Oreochromis niloticus: one gene and its partner. The protein of the gene in region 2 purifies or fractionates together with the protein of the main gene of each other region. This does not show direct contact. Links are inferred from orthologs where the notes say so. Each region holds a gene or a part of one and is shown on either strand. Other genes may lie near its edges.

Region 1 (7,554 bases), on a different chromosome or scaffold from region 2:
TGAAACCTCGTTAAATTATTTCAGAACAGCTCACTGAGCTGATCTGCATCCAGACCAAAACAAAAGCAAGGCTTTTAACTCGCATAACCTACAGTGACTTAAAACAAACCAAACTCCAGTCTCTTATGAAAACTCTTCCTTGTCCTCTGAGGCTTTTACAATGTGTGTGTTTGATGATTGTTTCAGTTTACCTTCAGAGAGGCTGCCAGCAGCAGATGGCTGAAAGTGTGTTGTGTAGGTTTATCCTTGCGACCACGCTGCTTCTCCTGCTTCTGCTTCTTGGATTGGGAACCCTTCACAGCACTGGCTTCAGCTGGAAGAAACACAGGAAAAACATGACCATTGATGCCCACTAAGACTATTTTAAAAGGATATATACAAACTATTACTCAGATGGCTGTATATCAGCAGAATAAGCAGTTCTACTAATTGGAACTTTGCTGCTTTGATCACTGGCTGCTCCAGTCTGCATGCCAAAGTATCTTTGGGGAAGATAGTGAACCCCAAATTGTTCAATGCTTATTCCCTTCCGATGCTGACGGTGGATCATGGAGACCAGCGCATAGGCTGCAGGCCCGGATGTACTGTCTACATTGGCTGTCTCTCACCCTTTACCCATCCCTGTTGCTTGTCATGTGTTTCTTTGGTGTATTAGAGTTTTTTTTCATGTGCTATGTGCAGAGGTGTTTTTTTTCTGTTCTCAAACTGATCTCCCTGTTGGAGCTCAGTCTGGGGGGAGTTATTTTTTTCTCCTTATCTTTCCTCGTGTTGTGCTTTTCCATGTTATACCCCTCTGACCTGTCTTCCCCATGTGATGTTTGTGTAATGTATGTATGGTCGGAAGGGTAGGACGGCGCTGGCATGGCTGGCAGCCTTAACCCAATTTCCCTTGGGATGAATAAAGTATGATCAATCAATCAGTCAATCAATATAGCATATAACATATCATAGAGAATTTGTAATTTTGCACAATTTCTAACATAAATATAAACAAAATATATATATATGTTCATTTTGCTTTTTAGGTTTCCATTTTATTTCTTTATTTTTTATTAAGTTTTTCTATTATCATTATTTAATTAAGTTGTGTGGTTGGTCTTGTGTAATTTTACTAACAATATAAGAGTATCTAACTTTTATGTGTAGTCTAACAATAACAATGTACTCTTGTGAGCTGCTATGAATCAGTTATCTCTGGGGAAAGATCATTGATGGATAGCTCTTGTTTATGGATCTTCTTCAACAAGCCTGTACATTAGCATGTATGTCAAAGCCCAGTCATAGGGAAAAGGCTAGGAACATAAAAAAAAGTTTTATTTCCACACATTTCATTTTAGAATAAACTGTTGGTTATGCTATTTCTGAACATGATATGGGTGTTATGAAGCATTAACAAACAGCTAAAAGATAATTTATGTGTAATTTTCCAATCCTTGGCATCATGACAATCCCCCCAAAACACTCTGGAAATCAGGGAATTAGCTCTGGGAGGTTTTCTATTCACTGCATGCAATAATGTTAACAGAATGTGGAAAAACACTCTCAGCATGGTTATTATAGTGAACTAAAATTAAATTAAAAGCCAAGAAAATCGTAAAAATAAGCTATACGACTGGAAACTAATAAAATGAAAAAGTAACCAAAATAAATTAAAAAAAAAAAAACGAACTACTTAACGTCCTCCTTTAGTATAAAGACATACACATTAGGTTAACTGGTGACTCTTAATTGGCCATAGGTGTAAATGTGAGTATGGACAGTTGTTGGTCTCTAAGTTAACCCAGCAAAAGAGTGGCAACCTGTCTGGGATAAGTGGAAGAAAATGGATGGATGTGATGGATAAAAATCTAAACTAAAACATCCAAAATAACTCAAACTAACCTCAAAAGAAAACCAAAATTCAAAATGAAACACAAACAAAACCTATTTAGACAACACAAAACTATAATAAGTTACTATTAAAGTGATTAACTCCAAGGCTATAAAATTATGCCCAGGATTATTACTGTATTATTAGTCTCCAAAAGTTGAATCTGTTCAGGTTTCCCCAAACCTTATAAACAGTACATTTGCATAATGTACTGTACTGTTTATAAGGTTTGGGGAAACCTGCAGTCAGCTGAGACTGAAGAAGTCACTTGGATGAGTGACGAAACGTTTCTCCCACAAAACGCTACGTCCAGATGAACAGATTCAACTTTTGGAGATTTACTTTCCTGGATGATTGAGAATGCATCAAGATGTATTATTAGTCAATTATAAACTTTGAATCCTATTACCTGGAGAAAAAATAATAGTCTAACTACGTCTTTATTAGTCCAAAATTTTATTTCATGTAACTTCTTGTTTAAACATAGTTAAACAGACTCAACATCAGATGAATGTGCTAACCTTCCTCTGTTTTATAACCTTTAAGTACTATCTTTATACAGTGAGTTATTCTACTTCACATGTATAAGAGTCTTAGTGTTGCCATTAACTAATGTCACGTGCTACAGATACCGATTTGAACCTTTGTCATCAATGAAGCGTTAAAAAACAGGCAGTGACTCGACAGAAAGCAGTGCACCCATTGGTCTGTTAATGTGACAGTCACAGCCACTCAAAAGTTACCGTAGCTTCTACTTCTAGCTCTGAGTTCGTGTTAATATCGTTGGCACGGAGCTCTTTTGTTGAATGAATCAATTACTGAGTAAGTGAATGAATGAATGCAGTATGACTGACTTGCCGCCTTCTCCACAGTCTCCCCCTTCTCCAGCTAGCTAGAGTTACGTTAGCCTGAGTGGCTCTTACCGGCAAACTCCGCTGCCTGCTCCGTTTCTTCTCTTATTTCTTCTTTCCGTCTGCCCACCGCTAACGCAACCAGAATAACCAATGCACCCAGTAACAAAGTTAACGCGGCCAGAGCAGCTATCTCCATGTCGACACCCTTCTGCCACGTATTTTGCAACGCTAACGTCTCCTAAACTAACCCCTCACGACTGGGGCACCGCGCATGCGTCCTAATAGTACGCTTCATCTAAGGCTGCGTTCACGTTTACGACTGCAAGTAGTAAATACGAGAACCCCCCGCCTCCAAACATTTCCGTGAAACATATATAGTTTATTTTAAATGTATAAACATTCCGTCAGTTTGGCTTGCATGATTTTAGCATGACGTTAAAAGACAACTTAATCTCTTAGATTATTCGTTTTCGTTTTTTTCTTAGTTATAACGGCGTTATCTAGCGTAACTGCCACAATTTTCACATTTCCTGTTCTGGGTGTAGTCATGAATGCAGCACAATCCGGGTCTCCAACCGTCTTTAATGCCACCTAGCGGACTGGCGTGTGTGGAATGTTTGAAAACTTTTCAGGAGAAAAGTTGGAGCCATGCTTCCACGATATTTACACCAAAATTTATATCCTACCATCTGAATTTTGCTGCAAAAATCAGGACTCACCAGACCAGGCAAATTTTTTTCCAGTTTTTTACTGTCCATTTTCTGCTATCCCGTGTGAAGAGTATCCTCTGTGTCCTTTTCTGAGCTGGCAGGAGTGGCACTGATTGTTGGGTGTCTGCTGCTTTAGCCCACCTACTTCAAGGTTTAACATGCTGTGCATTCAGAGATGCTCCTCTGCATTCCTGTGTTTGTAACAAGTAATTAAATGAGTTTTCGGATCAGTTCAAAGTTGTCAGGCATTTTCACCTTTCAAAGTTTCTTAAATTACCCACCCCCATGCTCAGTTGAACTTCATTTTGACCATGTCTACAAGCCCAAATAAATGTGATTTAGATATTTGCATCAAGTATACCTGAAATATTTAAAGTAAAAGCATGTATTCTTCAGGGAAGTAGCCGTTTACTGTTCCGTGGCAAGTGGTAATACTTCCAAATATGCTTTAAAATGCACTGTGATTATTTTCTGAGAAGAAATAAAATACAAAGTTTGGACTTGTATATAGTCTGACATTATATTCAATCTGATTTCAACTCCAGCTTTCTTGAAATTAAATCACTTAAATTTATTGGGACTAACTCATAGACACAGTTCCCAGTAAAACACTACTTAGATCTCTCGGAGTGTGTTGGATATCAATTCTTGACATTCTTGTTCTGTAAGCAGCGTGTCATTAACAAAGCATTTTTCCAATGTGTTTCATGTTTTTGGCAGGGGAGAAACCAGAATTCCCTAAGGCTACGTTCACACTGCAGGTCTTAATGCTCAATTCCGATTTTTTGATCAAATCCGATTTTTCTGTCTGCTTGTTCACACTACACATAAAATGAGACATCAAACGCGCTCTAGTGTGAACGCTCAAAGCGGCCCGCATGCGCAAAAGAAGATGTCACACACAACGCGCTCTGTTTAGACCCAGAGCAAACAATATTGTTTGACTAATGGCCCTTAATATAAAGACTTCGGACTTTATGTTTCCAGATTTTTGCTTTAAGTTATTTTGTTACTTACATAATAATGCAAATAACCTAATAATGATCCTTTTTGCTGTTTTAGAGGAGCGGTGCTTCAAAGGATAGTTGCAGATTTCTGTCAGAATCTGCAGAAAATACAGTAAAAATAAAATGTTCACATTTCTCCAACATTGTCTTCCCAACAGTTTCACCGGATGGTAGGAAATCGTTCGCGATGTCTTATCGGGCGCTTCTCCGGCGCTGATAATTGGCGTCTGTCTTGTGTCAGTGACGTAAAAGACGGATTTAATGCGACTTGACCGTTCACACAGCAGTCGCTTTCTAAAACATCGGATATGTATCGGATTCAGTACCACATACGAAAGTGACCCAGATCGGATTTGAAAATATCGGATTTGTGCCGTTCACACTGTCATACCAAGATCGGATACGGGTCGCATAGGGGCGAAAAAATCGGATTTGATGCGCTTTCGCCTGCAGTGTGAACGTAGCCTAAGAGAAACCCACAGAAGCTTGGAGAAAACATCCAGACTCCATAGAGAATCACTCTCTCCTCTTGCTCTGCTGTTCATCCACCATGTGGAGCAAACCCCCCTTTAAGCCAACTTTCTCCTGATTGGATGCCCCTCACAAAGAGAGGTGTTAAGGATTACTCCTCTCATGAACATCATACAACCAGAAGTAGAAAAAAACCCCCCAACTATCAGAAACTGTGCGTTTGGAGAAGTTTGACGCCTGACAGGATTTACTTGTTCATAGAGTGAACAAATTACTCGAAACTCTGGCCAAGTTTAATATGAGGATCCACTATTGTAACAGTATATACATGACAGAAAATAAGAACAATCATAACAGGTCCTCTTTAACTTCCTGCAACATTACCAAGCAATACTTGTTTATCCACTACAAAAACAGAGCATACTGCTAATATACAGTACGAAGTATAGCCTCCACGTCTTGGGAAGAAAATTTGGCAATCTTTAAAGGTTTAATGTGGAACATCCACATCCAAAACTCACATTTTTATTTATTCAAATTTGACCATCCAAATAAAAAAAATAAAAAAAGAAGAAACAAAGAAAGAACCCCCCCCCCAAAAAAACAACTGGTAACGGCTCACTTTTCACAATAAGAGGTGATTACTGAGAACAGAGATCATTTGAATAAAACAGCTGACATCAACTGCTTTACTGTCCATGTTTGCTGCACGCTCAAAAACAAAAATAATAATAAAAACAAAAAAAATCCCTGTATCGCTGTGAGAGATCCAATAGAACAGACTGTAATTTTTTTGTAAATCTGACATAAGGTAGCAGTGACATTTCTGAAGTGGGGACAATGTGTTGCTGTGCAGATATTTAAAAACCTCACCATTTATCACGGTTCCATGTGCATTAACAGCAGGTAGGCTGAAGGTAAAATGTAACTGATTCTAGCAGATTTGTTACGTTTCAGTGAATTAACAAGGATTCAGTGCCTGGGCGCAAAGAGAGGTAGTCTGGCACAACAAACACACACACAAGCACACTCTCATCTCAAGATTCTTTTCACAGGGAACAAGCTGAAGAGTTGGCTTTGGTTTGTCAGCGCTAGTCGAGAGTACTCATCCTACTCACATACTGACCTGCTAATTCAATCAGTTGGCAATCACTATCAAAAAAGGCCATCCACAGGAGGACTCTGGGAATGCTTGCAATGACAAAGAGTACGAAACAAGAACACAAGGGTCTGCACAAACTACGTTAAGACATTTACTAAGTCGCCCTTTTAAGTGCAGAAACACATTATTCATTTACAGGGTCAGAGAGCCAATTAAAAAAATAATTTAAATGCAAACTTTACATTTACACTGCAGTGTTGTGTACCTTATCTGAATTGACTGTGCATTTCATCCCATTCAGACTCAGTCAGAGAATGTACTCAAATATTCAGGTAACATACAAACCAGCGAGCGTTTCACGTAAAAAAATAAGTGTCTGAGCCGCAGCTCCACCTTTAGCTCGACTCAACTTTCTCCTTAAGACGAACCAATGGGAGTGTCCGTGTACGGTAAAAGGAAAAAGAACTTTGGATATGCTTATGTTCAGCATCTATCAAATCGTCTTTTCTCCTTCTTCAAGTATAGTACATCATTGTGGTTTCTCTCTCTTTACTGCTGCATTCCCTCACTGGGTCATGGACTCAGCAGGCTAATGTGCTCTTTCTAACTCATCTGCAAACTTCGGGCCAGCACAACCCACTGGAGGAGGAGAGGGAGGAAGCATAGGGTATGGTGGTAGCCTGATGGGGTGGGATGTTGGGCTTAGAACAGAGCAATGTTAGCCAGGTTAGCCATAGCAGCAACAGCTGGAGTCCTCCGAATGCGTTGTTGGAACAACGTGGCAGGCTACTTCTTCCTGTTGTGTTGTCGCCTCGCCTGCAGCCTCTGCCGTGCTCCGGATGGTTTCGATCCAGCTCCGATTGAGAAGGAAGGAGTTGCTGGAGATCCTAAACAAAATAAAAAATAAAACATATGGATATGTAACCATTTCTGCTACAAAGTATCCAGTTTTTAACAGTGGCATCAAATTTTCCAACTTCAAAACCGCCTCTTAATTTCATCTAAATTAGGATCAATATCAGGTCTGACAAGGAATTCTTATAGTGAGGCAACATGCTTTTCAGTATTTGGCTGCAATAAAAATTCCCATCAGCCTGCCTCAAGCCCACCTTTAATAACAGAACCCATGTGTTTCCACTTTGGCCTCACAGCAGTAGATAAACAGGCTAAATCCCACTACATTGCAATGCACAATGCTACAGTGTAGCATCCTATTACCAACAGAAGAGGTATAGAGTAATTTAACAAATGTATCAATAAAACTTTGTGATGGTGCTGCACTCTCACTAAATAAAACCAGAAGACTAACACACACTAACACACTAACATCACTGGGTTACAGCTACTTGAGAGCAACAACCTTTTAAACGTCTAGTCACACATCCCTACTCACGCTTCAGCAGGGCATCACCTCTTAAAAGATAAAAAAAATAGAAAATTGATGCCTTACCAAACTGAACAGCATTGAAGCCTTGGAGTGGAGTTCCAGGACTTCCAAAGGGAATTGGACCTGCAGCAGCACTCTGGCCAAAAGATGGTG
Region 2 (7,678 bases):
AGGGTGAACGCTCAGGAGTTTTCCTGCAGCAGCTGAGGTGACTGGCAGGGGAATATTCTGCTTCTACCTGTTAATTACGTTCGTCTTGATATTGTACGGCAGATGCCAGGCAGGAAGGAGCCTTTGTGTTGCCCTCATGCCAAGAGTTTACCCTGGTAAAACTGTGGCTTTGCGCAGGGTGTAAAAAGAGTGCGGCAGTACGCCGAAAGATTTTGTGAAATCTTTCATTTTTCCCACCCAAGTAACTACACCTCTTGACTTGAGTATGGTGGGACAGACTACACAGCATGCCGAGTAGCTCCCTGCTGTGAAAGAGCATTGTTTATATAGCACATCGAACACCCAGGGCTAACACACGGCGCTTCGGGTCTTGTCAGAAAACTTTAAAGTGAGCCTGAGGTGTAAAAAAGGTTGGCAGAAAATTGGCGGCACGCTGCGTTTCAGCCGTCAAGTAGATACAATGGCAGCAAGCTCGAACATTAAGGTGATGAAACGACACCGCGCATCTTCAAAAGGTTCGACCTTAACAAGGTTTTCGATGTTATGACTCCCTCAGGAAAACAGACAGCGTATTCAGAATAATACATAGGGAATAATTTATTACAGGACCTCAGGACCTTGGATACCTAAAGCAAGAAAGCGTGCTGATATAATCCTGATTCAAGGAGCTATATTACACTCAAAAAGTGGGTGTAATGGACTTGTAAAGGTAAAAATAAGATGAAAGAACAGAAAAGGAACACACTGCGCCAAACATCTAAGGTGGGCGTCAAACCTACTGTTTACCAAGGAAGACAAAATCAATGCCCTCCCCACTGCGAGATGCAGTGTGAACTGCATCTCACTTTGGGAAGCAGCAGCAGCAGCAGCAGCAGTAATCTAACAGGACTGGGTAAACATGTGGTCTGTGTCAGACTGTAAACTTTTCACTGGCAGCTTCCAGGGGACTTTCTCAGCAGTGCCGCATGCCTTTTCAAGGTGTTATGTGAAAATGCAACTGCGCTAAACACGTTAGGGTTGTATTTCATGTCTGAGGTTAAAGCAATGACATGCAGCATGGTCTCAGGTGTGTCTGAAACCCCCCACCCACCCACCCAGCAGCAGCAGCAGCAGCAGCAGCAGCAAGGTGTAGCAAACCTGAACTCCTATTCTGTCAAACAAACAACAGCTTGTCATTTTGCATACTTTTACATGCCTCTTCTCCGGGGCCACTTTGCTACAGCTTTAAACCGCTAAGATCAACACAAACGCTTTATGCAAAGTGTCCAACTCAACTGTTAAGAGCATAATAAACAGACTGGTGCATGAAAATGTGAAGCAGATTATCTACAGACAGGAGGGGAGGTTACCAGTTACCACTGTTCTCCTGCTCTATCGTTTTATAATAAACGAATCTTGCATTTTAAATCTGCAAAGAAAGCAGCAGCTGCATTTCACTTGGAACATAAATTCCATTCAATGTAACTTGGGGACGCTTTCAGATCTCTTTTCGGATAAACTCAACCGAGCTTAGGACAGCATGTGCTCATAGTTGCCTGTATTTCTCCTCAGAGATAATCAAAAGTTCCAGCGAACCCCCAAAAGCAACCATGGCACTTCAGCTCATAACGTGTTCCTCTTTCGCGGTTGGAAATAACAACAGATTATAGAAAAGCCACTTTCTCCATAGCCTGCATGAAGAAGCTATTCGTCGTACACCAAACTTTCCTGTCAGTTATCTCGAGCGCGTTTTGCCCTGACATGTAACCCAAATGTTAGCAACTTATCAAAACTGCCGACACCAGATAAAAACATGAACACAGAGCTAGCTGTAGTTAGCTGGGCATAAGCGCATCTGCTACGGTGTGCGTCCATTATCGGACACGATACCAAACTCGCTCACAAACACTTCATTTTCCTCTTCTGTGCTATGACACTGCACTTAACCTTTCTGTCGCATTATTTTCTTGGCACCGTTTGTAAGGCTGCCTGTTATAGCACGCAGTAAAAACAGGTTTATGAGCAAAGTGGACACAAACAAACACTTCCCCAGTAACTTCTGAATGCGCCGCTTCGGCGGAGAAATACTAATGAAAAAGTATCGCTTGACAAAAAAAGTAAAAAGTTTAAACTGACTTTACAAATAAATTGGGAGAGGGAGGCGTTACTAGTTTGTGTGTTTGTTATTTTAGGGGTCGTCCTTATTTTGTAGGCGCTAGAGAAACGGTGTGAGATAATGAATGTGTAGTTACTTACTGTCAGTTGGTGCCTAACTCTTTTTATAATTACCTCGTCTGTCTGACGCTTCCGTTACTTTCTCCATGTGATTCGTCTGCCTCCGCCGCTGACCCATTGTCGTCGTCCTCCACGGTAACGTCTGCTCCAATGACCGAGGTGCCTACGTTCTCCAAGCCACGCTTCATGACTCCTGCACCATCTTCCGCCGCGGTCGAACCTGAACCCCCGGTTGTGGACTGCGGCACCCTCCCGATGGCGGAGCCCTGAGCTTGCGAAGTCCCGAATCCGATGAGCGCTTTCAGCAACAAGAGGAGCACCAGGGAAATGCTCACGTTTCCAAAGTGAAGCCCCCTTTCCATTTGTAAGACTGGCACATTAGTGATTAGATTTACATGCCACTGGCCTTGTAAATCTTAACATAAAAAAACTTAAGGTCCAAAAAACTGTAGTTAAAACAGAAAACTAAGCTGTGTCTTCTAAAACGCCCTTTTCGGAGATGTTCTTTAAGTAAACATAAACAGCCACTGGGAAACCATGTTATTGCCTTTATACTGGACTCGACTTGCCTTGGTAACGCTAAATCCCGCCTTGTTTCTACACTAGGATTGGTTAGTGAAATCCCTGAGTTTGTTAAAAATTCATGAATCCGCCTCTCGTTGGATAATTTGCTGTCAACCATCTAGACTCGCACACTAAGCAGAATACCATTGCACCACCCATCTGTCACTCAAAGAGGTGGGCTCAGGAAGTCCCAGCCTCCCAAACAGTGTACTGCATTGGCTAATCCGCTGTCTGTCACAGCCACGCAAGCGCATTGACGGCTGCCCGACGACCAGAGCAAAAGGTGACGCAAAAATGTCCTCGATGGCGAATTCCGTAGCGGGTCTGTGATTGGTCCGAGTTGACGTAGTCTGACCAATAAGAGAGGTTAGTCTGACAGGCAGGGACGTTATTGGTCAGTTTGCGTCCTGGGTGATTGAATGGAACAACTAGATTGGATATTTAGGCTGTCATTCATGAATTGTTGTCAAGATAGCCAACATGAAAGCATCAACGTGGCTTCAGTGTACAAGATCGGTGCAGTTCCTGGTCCCGGTCACGAGTTATCGCTCTCAGTTTCGTTTAAACAGAGATAACAATGACATAACGTCTATAACTCAGTCACAGGAGAAAAGCTCAAAGCTTTCCATGACATTACAGAACATATTTTTTTTTTGTTTTATGTGTTATAAATATATATATTAAAGAAGTTATTGTAAACATGTCAAAGCATTTACAGTTGCTCAATATACAAAAGACGCGTTTAGCTATTTATTGTACATAAGGGTATTAGCTCATAGTCTGTATATAGAACATTTTGGTGTGCTGGCATTAAACTACCTTAAGCACACTAAGCAGGTTGAATTTCTAGCGCCTCCCTGTGGTCAAATAGGATGGTGGTACTTTCCTGCACTCTGCACAAATTCGAGCACAGCTCGTTATTATATTCATTCCAGTTTGTCTACTGGCTAAACTGTTCCACCGAGGACACAATCTCCTCTGCTCTTTACTGAAGCCGTGCACACCTGGAGAACACCACCCTGAGCCCTGTGCTGTTCACGCTGATGACTGACACATGACCACCAACCACACTATGAAGTCTGTGGGCCACGCAAGACTGAAGAGAGGCGAGGATGGTGGAAGAAAATCACTGAGGCTCGTCTTCCCTCCATTTAAGACATTGCACCCAAGCGCTGCTTGTTTCGAGGCACAGACATCACTGCATCCTCATCCCTCTTTCATGCTCTGTTGTCCCTACCCTTGCATGTTATAGGATTTCTGCTGCTATACAATTTTAACATATTTTAACATGGTTATTATATTTCATCATGTTTAACCAACTGTAATGAAATTTTGTTCCTTGTGTACCTGTTGTACAGTGACTGACAAGGTCAAAGTCAATTCATGTTCAGAAATCATACTTATTGGTTAATAGCTTTAAATAAAGGGAAATAAGTGGCAACAACTATGCTCACACTAAAAATCACAAAAAAATAAAACAAGACATTGGGTTATAATTTTGGTCCTGTATTGGTTGACAAAGAAATTAGAACCTTTGCAGCAAAAATAATAATCACAGTCAACTGGTAAAGAAAAGAATGGAAAAAAATAATAATAATATGCTGGTGCAAAAATATTCCAAACACATTCCCAGATTGCTTAACCTTTCATCTCCAGGCCACTTGAATTTGATTTATAAGACTGGAATAACATTAGAATAGGATCCGAGTGTGGGCACTTCACAGTGGCTTTTAAACATATTTGCCAACTAACTGCATTTGCATGACTTGATCTTGAATTTCACAGCTCTGCCCATCTCCAGAGTCTCTCAGTTTTATACATTAAAACAAAAACACATTCACAAAAATGAAACCACAGTGTAAGGAATAGTGAGTCTAAAGTCGAAGAAACAGCTGAATTTGAAAACCATAAGAACAACATGTGATGGCTGATGCAGGCAGAGACAGTAACTTGGCCACAAAATGACATAAGGGATCATTTCTTCAAGGGACAGACTCCATGCTATAAACTGAACTATGAAGATGTACAGTTTCACCAACACTGACAACACTTCTGTCTTAAAAGAATATATTTTAAAGGCATTCAACTGTGAAAATGTAATAAACTTTTGCTACTTGAATCATAAAGAACACTTACTTTGGTATTACAAGACACAAAAGGTACTCATGGTCCTAGTGAAATTTACATGATCTACAGCACGCCAAAGTTAAATAGCATGACTGTACACCATCATTACCTACTTCAAGTTATGTTAGTGGGACGAGGCATTCAGTGACCAGATGACTCGTGTAAAGGATAAGTAACCGTCATGCAGGTGACATACAGGCACAAAAAGAACAGACACAGAGGAAGGAGATGTGTACGTGCATTAGTTTTGTTTTTTTTCCCTGGACAAACAGTGAGTCTGAGGACTTTAACGTTCAATGATTAGTCTAACTTTACAGGAACAGTTGTGGAACCTCAAAGGAAACCACATATATTTCCCAGTCTGTCTTCATTCAGGACAGGAAACCAGATAGCTGCTTCCTACCAGCCAGTGAAATGAACACTTACACCTACAGCTCTGCTAAAGCAACTTTACAGTGTTGTGACACAGTGGACTCGAAATGCAGAGATTTTATACCCGTTATACACCTCAACAAGGGTGGCCTCTAGTCCGTAATCTGTAACCTGCAGTCATGGAAATACATCAACATAGTGTCACAATATTGATGTATTTACAGTGATACAATACACCCATATAGTGTCACTAAAAGGGACTAGGTAACAGCTTGTGTTGTTTTGTCATGTTAGGCTTCTTCAACAAGGAAACTTACATTACACCCCACCTTTATATTGTGCATCTTTGTAACACAGTTCCAGAGGCTTCATAGCTGCACTAGATCATTTTATGCTTCCTGCTGCTTAAATCTGGATATTCATTAGTAGTTCTTGCCATCCCTCCAAAAGCAGGGAAACTAGTTCGTGTTCTCTCTCCCCCCTCTCTCTCTCTCTCTCTCTCTCTCTCCCCCCCCCCTCGCTCCTTTAAAAATGTCTTCTTTTTTTTTTCTTTTTTTTATTAATGTCAAGGCACTCCTAATCTGGCTGTGCAGCACTTGTGGGAGCGGTGAGGTCATTCAGAAAGAGGAGCACAGTGAGATGGTGCCAATTGTGGAAAACTCAGTTGACCGGAGGATCCCGAACCTGCACGCTTCCGTCCTCCATGCCAAAGTAGGCCCTTTCAGCCATCCCCACGAAGAGCCCGGTCTCTACCACACCTGTAAGCACACAGAGACAGGCTGAGCACTCTGAACACTGATGGATGGACCAATATACTTACAGCAAGAATGAGACACGTCCCAAGCTCCTCACCTGGGATCATCTTGATTGCAGTGTTCACTTCCTTCCAGTTCTGAGCATGCTCAAACTTCCAGTCCAGGATGAAGTTGCTATTATCAGTGACCACGGGACCCTGAAAGCCACAAATACATAACCAAGTCACTCCACAAGCCCTTCACGGGGTGAAGCAGCAAAGCACGGGAACACACGCAAAGCGTGTTATCTCGGGTGCTGGAAATATAATTATTCTCTTTAGCAGTTTACAAAACGCTCGAGCGTGGTCTGCCACATGTAATTATTAAGTGATCGTGCACGATTATAAAGGAAGTTTTAATTAAATAACAGCATGTCTGAGTCAAGGATCTGTGAGTAAACAAACTGTCCCACTCATTAGCACTCAAAACAGTTTCCAGGCTCAACAGTACAAAAAAAGGAGAAAAAAAAAAAAAAAAAGAGCAATGAAAACATTAAGAGCTGGAATAATAAACAGAGGCTCCCGTCTCTCGCTGGATGTTGTTCATTTGAAAGAACCGAGTAGGAGGCAAATCATTAAAGTCTGCAGAGTGTTAATGAGGCAGTTACAGTGCCTGTGTAGGCGGTTTTGCCCTCCGATTTCAGTGTAAACTTTCCTCAGTCTCACACAGTTGTCACAAGCCTCTAATGAAGCCGACTCACGAGGCCACGCAGTTAGTTAATTGCACTGGATTGACACTACAGGCACTGCAGCCAATGATCTGGTCCACAGCAGCATGTGAGCAGTCTTCACTAGGTCTTCCTCAAAGTTACTCAAAAACCTTTTAACCATGTGCTGCCCGCTTCACCAAGTCCAGTAAATGACATATAGAAAATGTAAAGTCACGGTTATTGTTTGTGGGTTCAAATCACCTTTTACACTCAGGCCAGCTACACAGGCAACATCAGGCTGATATAAACGGCAGCATTTTTGATTCCGTTTTATGGGAAGGGTTAAAATGTTGCTAATAAAAGTAGAAAATGGGGATCAGTCACTGCGGTGTAGCACCTATGGAAGTCTGGTCGGGACAAACAACAGGCACAAGTCACCAAGAGCAAACAAAGGTTATTAACCAATATGCTGCCACTGAAATGTCTCTTTTATACACAGCCTATGGCTAAATTTAAAGTTAAATTCTTAACTGTTGATTAATGCTAAAAGTTCAATGGTAAGTTTAAGATCCACGGAATGAAAATCCAGGAGGAAAACCAGAGCAAAGCTGTGAGCAATGAAACAAAGAGGTGCAGCTGAGATGTCACAGATGTTAGAGTCAGTCCACTTACTGCTTTGCTGACAGCCATTCTTAAGTGAGCCTCGCCTCCAAAACGCTTTGCTATCGTTCTGGAGATGGGAACATGCGCCATGGGGATAACCTCAATGGGAACTCCTTTCTTCCACTGTTGGCCCAGAGCTATGGAGTCCTTCCTGGAGTTGTAGAGAAAGGGAATGAATCAAATCTGGACGAATGATCCTCACATAGATACAGATCAGTCTAAAACCCGTTTTTATTTTAGTAAAAGAAAACACAAATATTTAATACTTAAAGTGTCTTATTTAGTACCGGATGTG

The links. Proteins that work in one complex are often made in the same cells at the same time.
Region 1: the proteins of eif2ak3 (region 2) and tbl2 purify together in Homo sapiens (affinity purification with western blotting; 3 studies listed by BioGRID). This does not show direct contact. The link is inferred for Oreochromis niloticus from reciprocal best matches to the Homo sapiens genes EIF2AK3 and TBL2.

What each region holds. Positions count from the first base shown.
Region 1 is NC_031975.2:24,301,775-24,309,328, forward strand, and holds the start of tbl2 (transducin beta-like protein 2), read right to left. Parts: upstream 3,021-7,554; 5' UTR 2,921-3,020; coding exon 2,794-2,920; intron 314-2,793; coding exon 192-313; intron 1-191. Other genes in the region: pom121 (nuclear envelope pore membrane protein POM 121), read right to left, coding at 6,801-6,901, 7,465-7,554.
Region 2 is NC_031983.2:7,554,253-7,561,930, reverse strand, and holds the start of eif2ak3 (eukaryotic translation initiation factor 2-alpha kinase 3), read right to left. Parts: upstream 3,024-7,678; 5' UTR 2,577-3,023; coding exon 2,269-2,576; intron 1-2,268. Other genes in the region: rpia (ribose-5-phosphate isomerase), read right to left, coding at 5,938-6,035, 6,130-6,229, 7,393-7,534. UniProt on the Homo sapiens protein: Metabolic-stress sensing protein kinase that phosphorylates the alpha subunit of eukaryotic translation initiation factor 2 (EIF2S1/eIF-2-alpha) in response to various stress, such as unfolded protein response (UPR).